Drosophila melanogaster: one gene and its partners. The protein of the gene in region 3 interacts with the protein of the main gene of each other region in a pairwise test. Each region holds a gene or a part of one and is shown on either strand. Other genes may lie near its edges.

Region 1 (4,331 bases), on a different chromosome or scaffold from region 3:
TTTCCCACTACGAATATGCGTAAAACTTAGATCCGCTTTGACTTCAGCCATTTTTTATTCGACTGAAAACCGTGTACTAGACAACCCGCAAGTCGATGTCGTCACACGGTGCGTATACGCGATTAGGCATGCACGAGTGAACTTGGCCCCCAAGTGAAGTCAATTCACTGATCATTTGTTCGACTTTAATTGCGACGATTGTTGCAGCCATTTGGCAAACTATCTGATAAGCGTTTAATTTGATTATCAGTGGCCGGCGTCTAGTTTGCATCGAAATTTATTAAGTGTAAAAGGTCAAATAGCAGCTTCGTTTTGATCCATGGCCTGAGTTTAGCAATTTGACCTCTTAATTAAGCCGAACAAGTTTGTTGTCCAAGTCTTTTATTTGAGAACTAAACTCTACTCGCTCACAGCTACGTTCAGCTTAGCGCGCTTTTGTAATTGTGAGCCCCATTGACATTTAGCGGATAGCTGAGTCGTTCTGAGAGAGGAGCAAATCATAATCTAATCGAAGTGCCGGTCCCGGGCCAAAGCTGATCAGCCAGATCGACCACGAGCGGCAGCTGCTGGACAAGAATGCCGAACCGCTCCGCTGAAGGCAGTCCACTTTTAAGAACGGCACGCAACCAGACTGAGGCAACAACAGCCGGCTATTGTTTCTATATTCTCGATTCCATTCCATTGCGACCGAAACGGGGTTATCTGCTCACTGAAAGAGGTTGTAAGAACAAACTTATATACTTGTATAGGGAAATAAAACATTCGATTTGCTGAAGAATAAATTAAAATATTTTTAGCCAGAGAAGCTGGGAACATGAAAAGAAGGAATCTTTAAAAAACTACAAGATAAGAGATTTATGTTTGCGAAACTATGCCATTTATCAGCGTTTTTCTTATCAAAACGAAAGACTAATTTGAATGTTTGCAACACATTTTTTTAAAATACAACTTTAAGAATATCAAAAGATGTATTTATATTAGCGTAATTTCCATTTAATGGTGCCTTCCATTTTTCTGAATTTTAAATGTAATATTATTTATTCATTTTTCACTTTTTATTTTCATTCATATTATTTTCGCAATAAAAAACTTTTAGCTCCTTAAGATATTCGAAATGATAAATCTCAAAGAGCAAGCCACTTAAAAACAATTAATCCCGATCATATAGAGCATTAAACTCCACACATTCCTCATTCCAATATTGGCTTTCTTTTTTGTGCACACATTTTTTGTCTGCTGCCTCTTGTGATTCTGTTATTAATTTATTAATAGTTTTTGCCACCGCGGTGAGCTGCGAAACCCGTTGTCGTTACTCTATTGGCTGGTCATGGGATTTTGTTTATCATGAAAATTCTAAATGGCATGCTCATGTCATTTGCTAATTTTTAATGGCCTTTAAAAGCCAGGCTGCATAGCAAGTTTGCCGCTCACGTCGCTCAGCAAAGACCTTGACTTTCTTTTTAGTAAATGAGACATTTCTCCAACACCGTCTGGCTACAATTAGCCGGCCATAAAAAAACTTTAGGGCTGGAGTTGACAAACTCCAACGTTACAATGCGCATTTTGAAAGCAAAACTGTTTGCTTGTGTGTAGAAAGTCTAACGCTTCGCGTTGACAGTGCGTTTTGTTGACTCACTCAGCCGCCGTTTTGCGAGATTTACAATCTTGAGTAATTTCACTTGCTGGGATGCAAATTTCGGTGCTATTACAGTCACTGGTCAAGCAGAATCAATTGCAGAACGCGGCGGATATCCATTTCAGGCGGCCACAAAGGCTGTCTTTAACAATCTGAACTCCGATATTCTGCTTTTGTTCAAGCCGGAACAATGGCGAATCAATTAAAGCTTGCCGCCTGGCCAGGCAACTTTTGTCTGCCTTCCGCCTGTACATTTATCACTTATGGATCGCGCACTTTGCGCAGACGCAGGTAACTAGTTTTCACCGCAGAGATACAGCCACCGCCATCGCCACCTAAAACACACATTTCAAGGCAATAAAATATGTTTGGCCATGTAATTCTGCAGCGTCTGGAAGTGCACTTCGGCGCGTGTGTCTGCTGCGCGAAATGCATTTCCATTTCCATTTCGTTTTGTTTGACTCGGTCTCTGTTTATTTTGAGTCTCCGTGGGGAATGTTGACCGTGCATGTCATTCGCGTTTAGTTTTGAAAGTTGTTTGCTTCCTGCTGCTGCACGTCGCGTCGTTTTGGCCATTTTAATTAAAAACACATCACCTCCTGAGGCTGCTATGGCAATTTTTATGCAAAGTGCGTTACCCACTGCTTAGCTGCTCGATAAATGCTCGAATGATATTTATTTAGCAAACGTTTCGCTGCAGCGCAAATTTCATACTGATTGTTAAATGTAACAGAGGAAAAAGGCGGCAGCAAAAGGAAATCAATCAATACAAACCCACAAGAGTAGGTACTTCAGCGGCTCTTGGCCCAGTTTGTGCGTTCAAACGAGACCAATGAGTGGCCATTTGCACTTGAAAGTGCATATAATAGGCAACCAAGTGAAAAAGGATGCGAGAGAAAAGGATTGGTAAAGACCATAATAAGGGTTCGAAGATTTTATTGTCAGAGTAATGATTTTGAATTAATATAATTTGCGCGCCCATTTGGTATTTTAATACTGAAAACAGGTCTCGTTTTTTAACTCTGATCTGGCAACGCCAGGCTTGTACACTTTCAAAAGTGCGAAAAAAAACATATGTTCGCTGCATTCTTGTTGAGTTGCATTTTAAATAATCAAATAAATTTGATAAATTGGGAGCTTGTTAATCAAATTAACTCGAAATGGCTAGCACTTCTCGCGCAGCTAGGAGCCAGAATGCCATCCCCTCGCAGGAAGCGCAACAACCCGTCGATGTGGTCGACGCCAAGGTTCGCGCCATTCTAAACTACATCCTTGATCATACCGCCCAGAAGATTCCCATAAAGGACAAGGATTTGATAGCGGTGGCTGGGGACAAGAGCGAACTGAAGAAACGCCTGCCGCTGGTCACTAATCTGCTGGCCGAAACATTCGGTATAATACTAACCCCACTGGACGCGACCACCAAGACGTTCATCTGCACTGCGGAGGAGCCGGTGGCCTCCATTCACGAGCTGACGCCGGCTCAACGGCCGCAGTTCACGCTGCTGTATATTATTCTCATGTACATCTTCCTGCGCGGCAACCGCATCGAGGACTCGAAACTGTACGTTATGCTGGAGATGCTCAACATCTATCCAGACGAAGAACATGGCTACTTCGGCCCCAATCTGCGCAAACAGATCGAGGAGACGTTTGTGAAGCAACAATATCTGAAGCGGGAACGCTCACAGCTAAGTGCTTACGATGATTCCAAGACTTTCTTCCTTTGGGGACCACGTGCCAAGGCGGAGTTCACATTCGAGCAAATGGTGCAATTCGCCTCCAAGCTGCTCAATCAGCATCCCAAGGTCTTCGGCCATCACCTCTCCATGGCCCAAGAAGGAGTAAACGCGGAGTAGAATACCATTCTATGAATAATTTACTACATTTGATCTAACAAATTGAAAACCAAACAATATATATAATAATCTAAAATAGAGCCAATTTCCCATTTATCAGCAAGAAAAGAATATTACGATGATCTTTTAAAAATAGCACGTCTTTTCTATTTATCTAAAACTTAAGTTAATTTACTTAACAACGGAAGCAGAGACCCGACTCTAATACTTGGCATAGTCTGTGTCCATTATGAGCTTGCCATCCTTGTCCTTCAAACGAACGCGGCCGTTGGAGTAGCGCGTCTCTTGGCTGCCATCCGGATACACTAGCTTCACAGTGCCGTCCGGATACTCCCTTCGCTTGTTTAGTTTGGTGTGAATCTCCTTTTGGCCATTGGGCAGATTGAGAATCTTGTCACCATTCCGGAGCTGCACTAGATGGGTTCCATCCGCATAACGCCACTCCTCCAGTTTCTCCGTATCGCTGGGATCCACAATCTTAATGCTGTTGTTGGGAAAGTGAATCTCAACAGTGCCATCCTTGCGGCGATGTTCCGTCTGCCCGTTGGGAAACTCGAGTATTTCCAAGCCATCTAGGTAGGAGGTGTGCCAAGTGTTGGTCTCAGCGTAGTAATACTTCACTGTGCCTTCCCTGATGTTAGTTTCCTTGATATCCTTGTTGAAATAGAGCATGCGCAAGTTCATGCCATCGGCGCTTATCTTTTTTAGATTGCCGTTTGGGTACCAAATGTCCTTGCTCCCATCCGCATTCGTAATCTCCCGCTTAAAGTCACTGCTGGAGTTGGCAGCCGGTGGGGGGGTAGCAGCTTTCGGAGCGGTCACGGGCGGCTGAACTT
Region 2 (5,577 bases), on a different chromosome or scaffold from region 3:
AGCCGCGTTTGCCCAAAAACGGTCAACAGACCACATTCAACGACCACTTGGCCCATGTCGCTGGCAGGACCGCCAATGTAATAATAGCAAAGGCAAACAGCAGCGATATGGGATCCGATTTGGATCCAATGCGGGTCGAGTGCTGGTGCATCCGCATCCATATGTGGACTATAATATATATGTACATATACATATATGTAGATATATACATATGTATATATGCATACATGTTCTGGCAACTAGAATCAAGCAGGGCTTCCCTGGTTCAGACAAATTTGCATTTTGTGTGATAGTAAATAGTCCAGAATGGATAAAGTTTTTCATTTGCATTATGACCAATGGCGCCCGAATAACCGACTTTTCCGCGCTAAAGATTTAATGGCTATATGTATGTGCATGGGGAGACCGGAAAATGTCAAGAGATTTCTCTCGCCATTGAGCAGAATTCCGTAATTTTGTCAGATTCTATGGCTCATTAGCAAATAAATATCTAAAAATTTTGCTAAGGAAATTAAATGCCGTGAGAATAAATAGACGCATGATGTCTTTTTCGGCTACGTTGTCAGTGTAAGAACAGTTGTATATAGAACAGCTGTTTTTCTCTTTTGCACAAAAACATGTAGATATATAATTATTCATAATAATGAATACATTTTTCGATTGTATATGACTAATTATAACTATAATTGGTATTCGACTAACGTTGATGCATAAATGTGTGTCATTTGGTGGGCATAAATATACAATAAATCAGCATGTGTACATTTAAAAATAACTATATTTTGAAATTAATGTCATACAAATAAATTTAATTTTAAACAAAGTGCAATGTGCAATTAAATTCATTGACCCCAGAGTGAAAAGCAGAAAGCATTGCACTTAAATTAAATATGCAAATTTTCGATCCACATACGCGTAAAACAATGTGTCTATATAACTAAGTTAATGTATAAATTATGCGTATAAAAATATGTGTATTTTGTTTGCTGTAGCACGCTCCACGGAGTGGTTTATTTAAATGTCTGGACATTGATGCCGACACACCTATATTTATTTCAGATACACACATATATATATATATATATATATGAAATAAATACATATATTTCAATGGATATTTGTGGCCACATACGCTGCGGAGAATGCGAACACGTATTCAAAATATTCTGGAAGAAATGCAGCCGGCAGCGAACATTTCACAGTTGACTAAAATGTAAACACGAAGAAGTCGGAAAAAAGGAAAATCATTTTCTAAATATATACAACGGTGCTCCGAAGAGCGCAATGCGGGAGGAAAATGAGCGAGAGTGGAAAAGCGGTGTGAAAAGCCGAGAACAAAGAGCAATGCATTGGTCATTCGTTTGATTTCAAGTGATTTTCAAATTCTATAGGCTGAAGTCATAAAAAAGCTTTTGCTAAGAATTGAATACCCTTCCTAAGCAATATGAATTCATTTTAATTGATCACTACTATCGATAAAAATCTAAATCTAATTAAAAACCCAAATCACCACACTTGACCATGAAAATTGTAATAAATTTAACCAAATACAAACATCATTATCTAATGGACAGTCAAACCATTTTATATAAACAATCTTCAATTAGGTCACAAGACTTGTAGACATTCCCCAATCCATGATCCCTGCCTGAGTAGTAGGGTGTAGAATCCGTGTATAAATAAATTGTGTGTAGGTTTTCCCGTTTGAACGGCAACAGCTGCATAGCTTTTGGAAAATTGGGAAAGCCACTCGCGAGTTTTCCGCTGGCGACGATCAGTGTGCGAGAGTGCGTCGACGAGCGAGGACACAGAACCAGAAGCCAAGAAAATCAGCGGAAAACGTATCCGGCGGGAGAAGAACCAACGGGAAAGCTGCAGCCAAGTGAAAGTGTGGGGAGATATTAATAGAAGGCCACGTCGCACACATATATCCGAGCAGCGGATAAATATACAGACCGTTCATAGGCGGTCCGTGAGATACACACCCGGAGGAGAGACGGAAACCAGGATGACGGACGTGCCGGAGCCCGTGCGCAAGTGCGCCAGCCTGTTGAAGGGCACGAAGAGCGACACTGAAAAATTCGCCGCCCTCTTTATGGTCACCAAGCTGGTCAAGGGCAAGGACTGCAATGCGGCGGGCAAGAAGCTGCTGTTCGAGGCCATAGGGTTTCCCTTCCTCAAGAAGCTGCTAGTGTCCAAGGATCTGCCCAACGATTGTCCGCCGTTAGTTTACAAGAGTGTAGCTCTCTCGATCCTCACGTGCTTTTGCCAGGAGGAGGAGTTAGCCACCCATAAGGACATCATCGACGCCATACCCACGCTCCTGGAAATCGTTGAGCAGGCCGATGACGAGGACTACGAGGATAACCTAATCGTGGTCAGCGAGGCGTATAGTTGCCTCAAGAGCATCGCCAGCCATGAGCCAGGCCAGCAGGCCCTTCTGGCCACCGGAGCCATCCCCAAGATGTCGCAGATATACTCCGCCCAGAGTTTCCAGACCGATGAGGCCTTGCACCTGATCGTGCTGCTTGTTAAGCAGTTTGGAGTGGTATCATGGCCCGAGGATCCCACTGCCTTCCATGCTCTGATCCAGAGGATCGCTTTGGACATGGAAACCGATGACACGGAGAGAAAGTACGAGCTCTGCCGTATCTTGGCTGATATCCTTATTACCTGCCGTCGTGAGATTGTGATTAATTCTCTGGAGGGTCAGATCTGGCCGGAGAGCTTGTTCAAGGGCTGTGGAGATATTCTGAAGGCCAAGATTGGCCCCAAGCAAAGGGATCCTGCACTGCATCTAATAGCCACCACCTTGCATGTGCTGGGCATCCAATGGGCCTTCATGGACGAGCAGAAGACTTTCTTCCTGCAGCTCCTCCAACTGGGAGCTATCGAGGTGCGCATGCAAATGGATGAGAAAAAACTGGAAACCACCTTCAAGCAGGCGGAGCTGCTCACCTGCTGCTTCTCCATTCTGGAGCATTGCATTGAGTATATGGCTACGGATCAGCTGGATCTAGAGCCCAAGGAGAAACAGACCACTTACACCGCTCTCAAGGGCGCCTTCAACCAGGTTCTGGCGGTTTTGACCCGTGTTAGCCAGGACAAGATCAGGGAAAGCTCTAATCCCAAAGATAAGAAGTTTGTGTTTGCCATCGTGAAAGTTCTGTCCGCCTGGCTAGCCCAGGAGACAACGGCCATGAGACCGGCCATCTACAAGCTTCTGCCCTTCATGCTCAAGGTGGCCAACGAGAGTTTCCAGGAGCTAAAGACCTGGAGGGCAGGAACTAGGGAGGGCGAACCACCCATCGATGTTCTGCGGATCATGCTTCCGGCTCTCTGCCATTTCGCAGTGGAGGAGGAGGCCAGGAGAGTGCTCTTCACCCATAAGCAGGATGAAGTGCTGCTGGAATCCTTGGAGTTCTACTTCAGCATTGCCCATTGGAAGAGGCCGCCAATACCGCGCGCTGAGCGTTTGAAGCGCATGAATGAGCCCGATCCGGTTCCGACTCCGGAGCAGCAGGCGGAGATGAAGGTGGCCAGAAGTGCCATAGTGGCGCTCTGCAACATTTTGATGAACTTCACCGTCTTGGAGCCGAAGAAGGCTGAGGATGGACCGACTTTCGCCAATCTGCTGAAGTTCGTGGTGGAGAATCTACCCGAACTGAAGGATACGCCCGATAACCTGGTCATCCACGGAAACCTGGCTGTGCTGGGCCTTCTACTGCTTAAGCAGCAGTCCAAGAAGGTGAAGCAGAATGACTTCTCCATCTGTCGCTACATCCAGGCCACCATCCGCTTCCTCTGGGATGCCTACAACATCGATGAGAGCAACGATCCCACCGCTCTGGTGGTGTCCATTGCCTACAAGGGCTACTGGTCGGATCTGTCGGAGCTCTGGTTCCTGGGAATGCAGACCATGTGCGGCGTGCTACCCCTGGTGCCATGGCTCTCCGAGTTCGCCCTGGAGTCCGGCTGGGCAGAGGGCATTGTGAAGACCCTGAAAAAGGTCAAGATCGGCACCCTGCCGGCTAACGTTAAATCCGCGTACGAGGACTTCCTGTCCCAACTGGTGGACGTGAACGGCGATGTCCAGGCCGTGCTCAAGAAGGCCGATGCTCTGCGGGTCTGCCGCAATCACAGGATGATGGATCTGGGCAAGAAGCTCTTCGGCGACTAAGCCAAGCAAGGCACTCACTGTTTCTCTAGAGGCATTTTTTGTGTGTGATTTGTGCGCCAGCGAAAAATGGAAAATATTTTGTATGGATTATATTCTATTTTATATGCTCTATTTTAATGACTAAATACCTAAATTTATAAAAAAAAAAATAATAAACCAATTTTAAAAACACATCCGGATATAAATTTCGTTTTTCAGTTTTGGCTTCTCTCATCAAAATGTTTTGCCATTCATTCGTTCTCGTTTTCGTTTGTTCGGGCCAACTCAGCGGAATTAGTTGAAACTTTTGCTTGTTTTCATTCTTGTTGTTCGCTTTATTTTCGAACAAAAGCAATATGGTACGGCCAAAACACGTCACATTCGTATATATACGATATGCTGCGGAGTGAAAATAAAACACTAGCGTTAAACAACGATGACGAGTGCAAAGGCTGACCGAAAATAATACTAATAATAAGTGAAATTTAATTAAAAACATGCAGCTAAACTTTTTGTTCGCATCGGAATGGAACGGAAGCGGCGAATTAATAATGTGCTGACGTGAAGTGACAACTTTTTTGGTCAACAATTGTGGAGCGGGAAATGCATGTAACATTTCGGAGGACAACATGCCCTTTGTGCCGTGGGATGAGATATGCAGATAAACCAACATAATTTTGCAAAATTAAACATTGAAGGAAAACATCGATTTCGGTAATAAACTTCGTACGCGAGTTTTTATTTTTTCAGTAAAGTAATTAAAATGAAAGCATTTTAGTTTATTAGAACGGGCTTTATTAGCTGAGCACAGTTAATTAAATTAGATATTGCAAACTATCAAAACACGGTTGAATATTTGTTTATTTTCCCCAAAATCACTGCTTCTGACATTTTGAAGGCTTTAATCAACGTGAAAGGCTTTTTAATTAGCAAGAGTTTTTTTTCCAATTTAGTTGATTTCAGCCTGCAGTAATAAGGAAGTGCACATCCTTCATTAAACTACTTTCAAATTAAGTTTACCCTTAATATATTTCATTCACAATATCATCAGTGATGGGCCAAAATTTAATTTTTATTTAAATAATTAATGCTGCTTGTTAGTATGTTCTCTTGAAACGTCTGTCGTTAAAGGGCTTATCGGCTGGCTTTTGGATTTGGGACGACTACATCCGCATCTGAGCGGATTTTCCCGCTGCGAGGCTAAATTGCTTGTTAGCAATGAATGAGAATAGAGCTGGAGCCGCAGAAGATGGTGAGGCAGCAGCTGCTAACCGAAGCAAAAGCCGGGCATAAATCTCCAATAAATCTTAAATACATATTGCGCCGCCTGTCGGGATGCTCCGCTCCTGCTTCTGGCCCAAGGAATACGATACATATTATGCGAAAGTATCGCTCAATCGTACTATCTGCTATCCACC
Region 3 (5,823 bases):
AATGAAAATGGGAAAATAGTAAGATAAAATATGTAAATTGTATATCGTGTACAAATAAATGTAGATACCAAGTAATTTTAAGATGAAATTGTAGTACTTATCAATTAATTCAATTATTCTCATTTTATAAACGACTTTGATCTTTTTGTTTACCTGAACACATTTTAAAGACAATTCTTATGTAGTCATTTGAAGAGGATTAGTTTTAATGCTTTTGTTGACTTTGTATAAGTGATTTGAATTTTAAGGAAATTTTCATTAGTTTTTTAATAAAAATAAAATTGATTGTAATCAAGCGTTGTAATTTTTCATTTTATACTCAATGTCTACATTTTAACGTTGCCGCAAAATATTTTCCACTGGCTTCAGTTTTAGGAGAGAAAAAAAATTTTGTTGATTCTAGTTATTTTAGATTAATTTGCACACCACTCAAAGCTAATTTGCCGATCATTTGTGTGAGTCTTTTCCTAATTTGGCCACGGGAGTAATGCAAATATTTACATAAAATTCATGTACACATACATGCCTGGAAGAAATGAAATAACATTTTCATTAAAAATGAATAAATTTACTGTCTAGTCTTTTAGTTCATACACTCAATTGAGCAGCGTAAACAAAGTGCCTTGGATTATCCGATTAACATAGTTGCATTAGATTAAGTTATAAAAGAAAATAATAAAATAGTAAAAACAGTATTCAGTAAAAAAAAAATTATTTTTAAAGAAGGGAAAAAAAATGAAAAAAAAACATCATTCAAATTTAGCAGATCGTTGGGAACGTCAGCAAATGAAAGCTGATTGCTACGAATCTAATGTTGATCTACACTGTATATACTTGTGGTTGTGTAGATAATGTGTAAGATTACAGTAAAAAAAATAAAGTCAGTCAGCGATTTTTATACCCGTTACTCGTAGCTTAAGAGGGTATTCTCGACTTGTTGAAAAGGGTGTAACGGATCTTGACACGCGGCATTTTTATTTCGAAACATCACGCCGACACTTTTAAAACATTTTTTTTGAGTAACGGGTATCTGGTAGTCACGAAACTCGACTGTAGCGTTTAAAAAACTCCTGAACTCTCATTCGTTGCTCACTAATTAGAAGACAGAATTTGCCCTTATCAGAGTTGTCAGATAATGCTAACAAGAAATACTATCTTATCTGAAGTGATCGATTGCAAAAAGTTATATGAACTCATTAACCAGCCCCACATCAATAAATATTTATTAAAGGCATTCGTCACCAATTGCATTAATTTCGATTTCTGGGTTTAAAAATATTTAACGTATATTCACTAATTTTGGCTGACAACATGGAGTTACCTTAATAAATTTTCAAGTAGTCTATGTTCAGGTTTCGAATATGAAGTATTAGAAGTCTTTAGCATCACAGAAGCCGGTTGTTAATGTACAATAGATAACGAATCAAACAAAAACGTTTCTTAACGAGTTTGCGCGTATACATAACTTGTTTAATTACAGTTGCGATATCGCAAATTTTTAACGTACAATGCAAAAAATTTCTTGCATTCAAATTTGATGTTAGTTATATTTTCTAATAACGGTTTTGGACAACTATTTTTATAGCTTGTGAAATCTTACTAGAAAAAAAAAAAAAAAAAATACAAAAATCTTATATTTTTAAACGGGGTTTTCTCTATAACTTGGTAAAAAAAAGGTGGCACATCTAACGAAAAAAAACACTGTTTTATACTGCTCATAAGCATACCTAACTATCCCTATCATAATTTTAATGATTTTCAAAAATCAAAATTTGAACAAGTTTTCGGTAATTTTATATTCTTTCCTTTCTAGATTGTGATTTTTGGAGATATTTCAGACGTACAATTATCAATTTATATATTATGCACATATATTTGTATTCATTCTTTGAGAAAGTAATATTCGAAAGAGTGGACACAAATCTTAGAACCAACCCCAAAAACAAACCCTTAAGATAGTTTCCAACAGCTGTTTTGCCAAATATATGGTGACTAGTAGCGAGTGATGAGAGAAACAGGCCATTGATAAATCGAAGTCACACCACTTATATATACAAACTACATATCTTACCTATAATATTTTAGTTTAATAGAAGTTTTTTTTATAATTTTCAAATCACTCTCGCTCTTTATAGAAAGCCGGTACCGGTTTACACCCCCTTTCCGACACAAGCATATAAAAAGAACAGCGAGAGAGAGAGAGAGTGAGCTTTGGTTCTCTCACTTAATTCTGTTGATTGCACAGGTAGAAACAAATAACTTGTATACTGCGATATTTAAATTTATTTGTTTTTGTACTAATTTGTACTATATTCTGGTTAAATATGAAATAGTTAAAAATACTTATTGGGAACTGATATTTTAAATAATATATTTAATAATACTTGGTGTAATTAAATTCAAATTTTTTACTTTTATTGCACTAGACAGCAATAATAGCTTATGTTTCAACTTCGATCATAATCATAAATTTTTTTAATTTACAACTTTCAACATTTTCTTGCCAGTGTACTCTGTTCTCTTCGTTCTCGCTCGTGCTCAGTTTTAGAATTCGCGGCAGTTGTTTTTGTTTGTCCGGCGCGTTCGCTTGCTTCACTTATGCGCTTGTTGAAAATCAAGGAAAGGGCGCGGAAAATAAGTTTAATTAAATATTTCGAGTGGCTCGACTAACACAGCAATTAAGCGAATGTGCAAAACGTGAAAGCAGTTGTGAATAAAACGCACTCATCGCGAAATTAAAAGCTTTTTGGGAGCGTCCTGCGATGGAGAAACGCGTGAGGAAAAATCAATTCGTAAGTAAATGGGCGACGCGAAAAACGGTGATTTAAAAATCAAATGAAATGAAACGCGTGCGGAATTTACCTGAACGGAAAACTAATCGGTCAGCAAAAATTGCGTTTTGTGCCAAAACAGAAAGCGCAATAAATATAATATACAATTGCGCATATGGTGTATGTACATAGAGTGCAAGAAGAACGTGACAAGGAAGAGCAAACGAAGGTGAAGAGTGTGAATAAAACCAAAACAATAAGAACGAACAAGTTTAAGCCACTGTTACGGCAAGTAACGCACGAGAATATACATATGTACATATATTGGTTTCCAACTGGAAACTGAAATTGACTAGAAGGAAGTGGAAGGAAGAATTGCCTGACGGCCTTTCCTTCCAGTCCGGCCACTCACACTACCAAAGCCCCTTGCTGCAGGATGTTAAAATAAAGCTAATGAAGAAAAGAATTGAGAACAGTATAAAAAAAATAGCTAAACTCTTGGGTCCCCATTCCTAAAATATTTGTAAACTCTGATCCTATGCCTAAAAATTATAAAATCAATGCAAAAAGTTTAAATTATAAGGTACAGCATTTATTAAATTTAACGTTCTGTTCCAAGTGTGTTTGAGGCATTTAAGGCGACAACTCTAATATGTTATCTGTTTGAGGGTCGTTGGTCTTGAGTATTTTTAATAACCCGCTAAACACAAAGGAATATGTTGATAACTAGGCGAGAAGTGGCTTCCCAATTCGTGATGTCTTATCCTGGTGGTTGTTGTTGTCTCTGTTAATGTAATGACATTCCCCAAACAGCTGCATTTTGGTTTCTCGCTCTCCGGCTCTCTTCAGTTGTCATTTCCGTTATGCCCTGCCATGCACTCAGCCCTCCCCCTCTATTCCCTTTTGCATCCGGGGGGTGAATTAACTGCAGCCGAAACGCATTTACTTTAATTTATTTGTGGTTCCAGTGGGCGTCACTTTCTCTCCCTCTCATTTTTATCTCGACAGAGAGAGAGAGAGCAGCACATGCTATTGTGCGTGCATTTGTATTTGTATTTCTCGTCTCTGCTCTCTGATTAGCCTTCTCTTGTTATTGTTGCGGGGATAATTCATATGCAGATTGCACCTAGTGATTGCCATTCAAATTCAACTGATAGTGGAAGCTGGAACTTGTACTATAAACATACATATGGTTCTTCCTGCTTCAAGTAAAAAAACAGTAGCCATTTCCATCAGTCATCAAAGTAATGAACTCTCCTTGCAACATATGGGACTGAATAAGAATAGTACTTTATGCTACTTTTAGCATGTTTTCGTTTTCCAGAAGAGAACTACCTAGTAAATGAGTTTTAATAATTATGAATGACTCTAAAAGACTGATCCTTAAAGAGCTCCTTACTTAATGTATTATTACATTATTTTTAAAAATATTCAATACCAAGTCAAATAGTTTTTAATGTATTATTTCTTGTATTGGGTGTATTTGTTCTTAAATGTGTGTTATTTCGTAAAGCCAAAAATCTGAATTTGAATAGACTAACCCAATAACCTTAAACCAGCTGTGCCATGCCCCGCGGGCTATACTATAGAATATTGTTCAATGGCCCCAAAAAGGTGCCATTTCACGTGAGATTCAGGTGAATAGCGCTATACCTATTCATTAATCAGCAATCAATTATCTATCAGCAAAGCCTTTTAATCAATATTTAATTAAGAACTCACATTCCGACTTTTCTTCTTATACATTGCTTTTGTCGATGTCGTTTGAACAACAGAGTAATAGATATTGTTCATTGGGACAGAAAATAATAGTTACTTGAGAACTCTTATAGATAAGCTCTCCGTAAAGTATACAAAATTTTAAGGAATGGAATTCTTTAAGGTTGAACTAATGGCATAATCACTTTTCTCATTCGTTCGTTATATGAATCATATTAATATTTCCATTTTCATTTGCTGTATTGTACTATTACACGATGAACAAAGAAACAGAGTTTTAAAAACGAATGCCATGTTTTTTTTTTGTGCCTGATAACAATTCCGCAGTCCAGTTCCACTTTGATAAACAGCTGCCGACATCATTGTGCCAGTCCTTACTGTATTGTTTATCTGAAAGGGAAGTTACTGAAAGTGAATTGAAATAAAACGAGAATCATAGAGCCAAAACATTAAGTACAGGGTACTTTGCTTATACGGGCTCCAAAAATAAAATACAATAACTGAATTAAAATATTTGCGGGATCGCAGAGCGTGGCTGATTTTATTGACCGCAGATGAAAAGCGGCCAAACAAAACAATTGTACAATTGGTTTGGTTTCTGGTTTTAGTTTGTCTTTCTGGCCCATTCTGTTTTTACATTTTTTTTTTTAAATTACGATGAATGGACTGTCACGCTAGTCTGAGTATAGGGCAGCAAAAAAGCAAAAGGCACTCTATTAACTGAATGACATAATAATAAATTTAGTTTAGCTTAATTTCTATTAACAGGTGCTCCATTACGCGCTCTCGATGAATTAGTTAAGAACTAGATTATTATTATTATTATACATATATAGTGAATAAGAATTTAAGCTACATAAGTTGACTTTTGGGAAAACTTAACTACAATATTAAGCTGGTTTTGAAAAACCCATAAATATAGTTATGCTTATCTATTTGAGTTATGATGAGGTAAACGTTTTATGTCAAGGGTTCTACACACACACATTGAGGGAATTTTTTAAGCTTTACAATGCCACAAAATATTTTTTTTTATTATCTGTGCAAGGTACTACATCTTTGACGAGACAAACTGGTGTTATAATGTTTTATTATCTTTGGCTTTATCTGAGTACGCCACAAACACCGAAATTTCAAAGATAACAACTAAAATACGTAATAGCACGAATAAAGCTAATCACCATGGATATCAAATAGATCACTGAAATAGAATTGCCAGACAGTATGAATTATATACACGTTCATATTCGTGCTACCGAACAGTATGTGATTATATAATTTTCTTTTTTGCTCGACAAGTAATTTTTCAATTGGCCGCTGCAGTGCATGGGAA

What was found.
Region 1: the proteins of C1GalTA (region 3) and MAGE interact in a two-hybrid assay, tested with the Drosophila melanogaster proteins (one large-scale study listed by BioGRID).
Region 2: the proteins of C1GalTA (region 3) and Neurochondrin interact in a two-hybrid assay, tested with the Drosophila melanogaster proteins (one large-scale study listed by BioGRID).

Annotation. Positions count from the first base shown.
Region 1 is NT_033777.3:7,153,530-7,157,860, reverse strand, and holds MAGE (MAGE), read left to right. Parts: upstream 1-2,680; 5' UTR 2,681-2,796; coding exon 2,797-3,495; 3' UTR 3,496-3,623; downstream 3,624-4,331. Other genes in the region: Sas-4 (spindle assembly abnormal 4), read right to left, coding at 3,697-4,331.
Region 2 is NT_033777.3:6,466,665-6,472,241, forward strand, and holds Neurochondrin (neurochondrin), read left to right. Parts: upstream 1-1,772; 5' UTR 1,773-2,008; coding exon 2,009-4,180; 3' UTR 4,181-4,352; downstream 4,353-5,577. UniProt on the Drosophila melanogaster protein: Strongly up-regulated in Mhc mutants suggesting a role in muscle function.
Region 3 is NT_033779.5:8,947,947-8,953,769, reverse strand, and holds the start of C1GalTA (core 1 galactosyltransferase A), read left to right. Parts: upstream 1-2,553; 5' UTR 2,554-2,792; exon of another isoform or gene 2,793-3,000; intron 3,001-5,823. UniProt on the Drosophila melanogaster protein: Glycosyltransferase that generates the core 1 O-glycan Gal-beta1-3GalNAc-alpha1-Ser/Thr (T antigen), which is a precursor for many extended O-glycans in glycoproteins.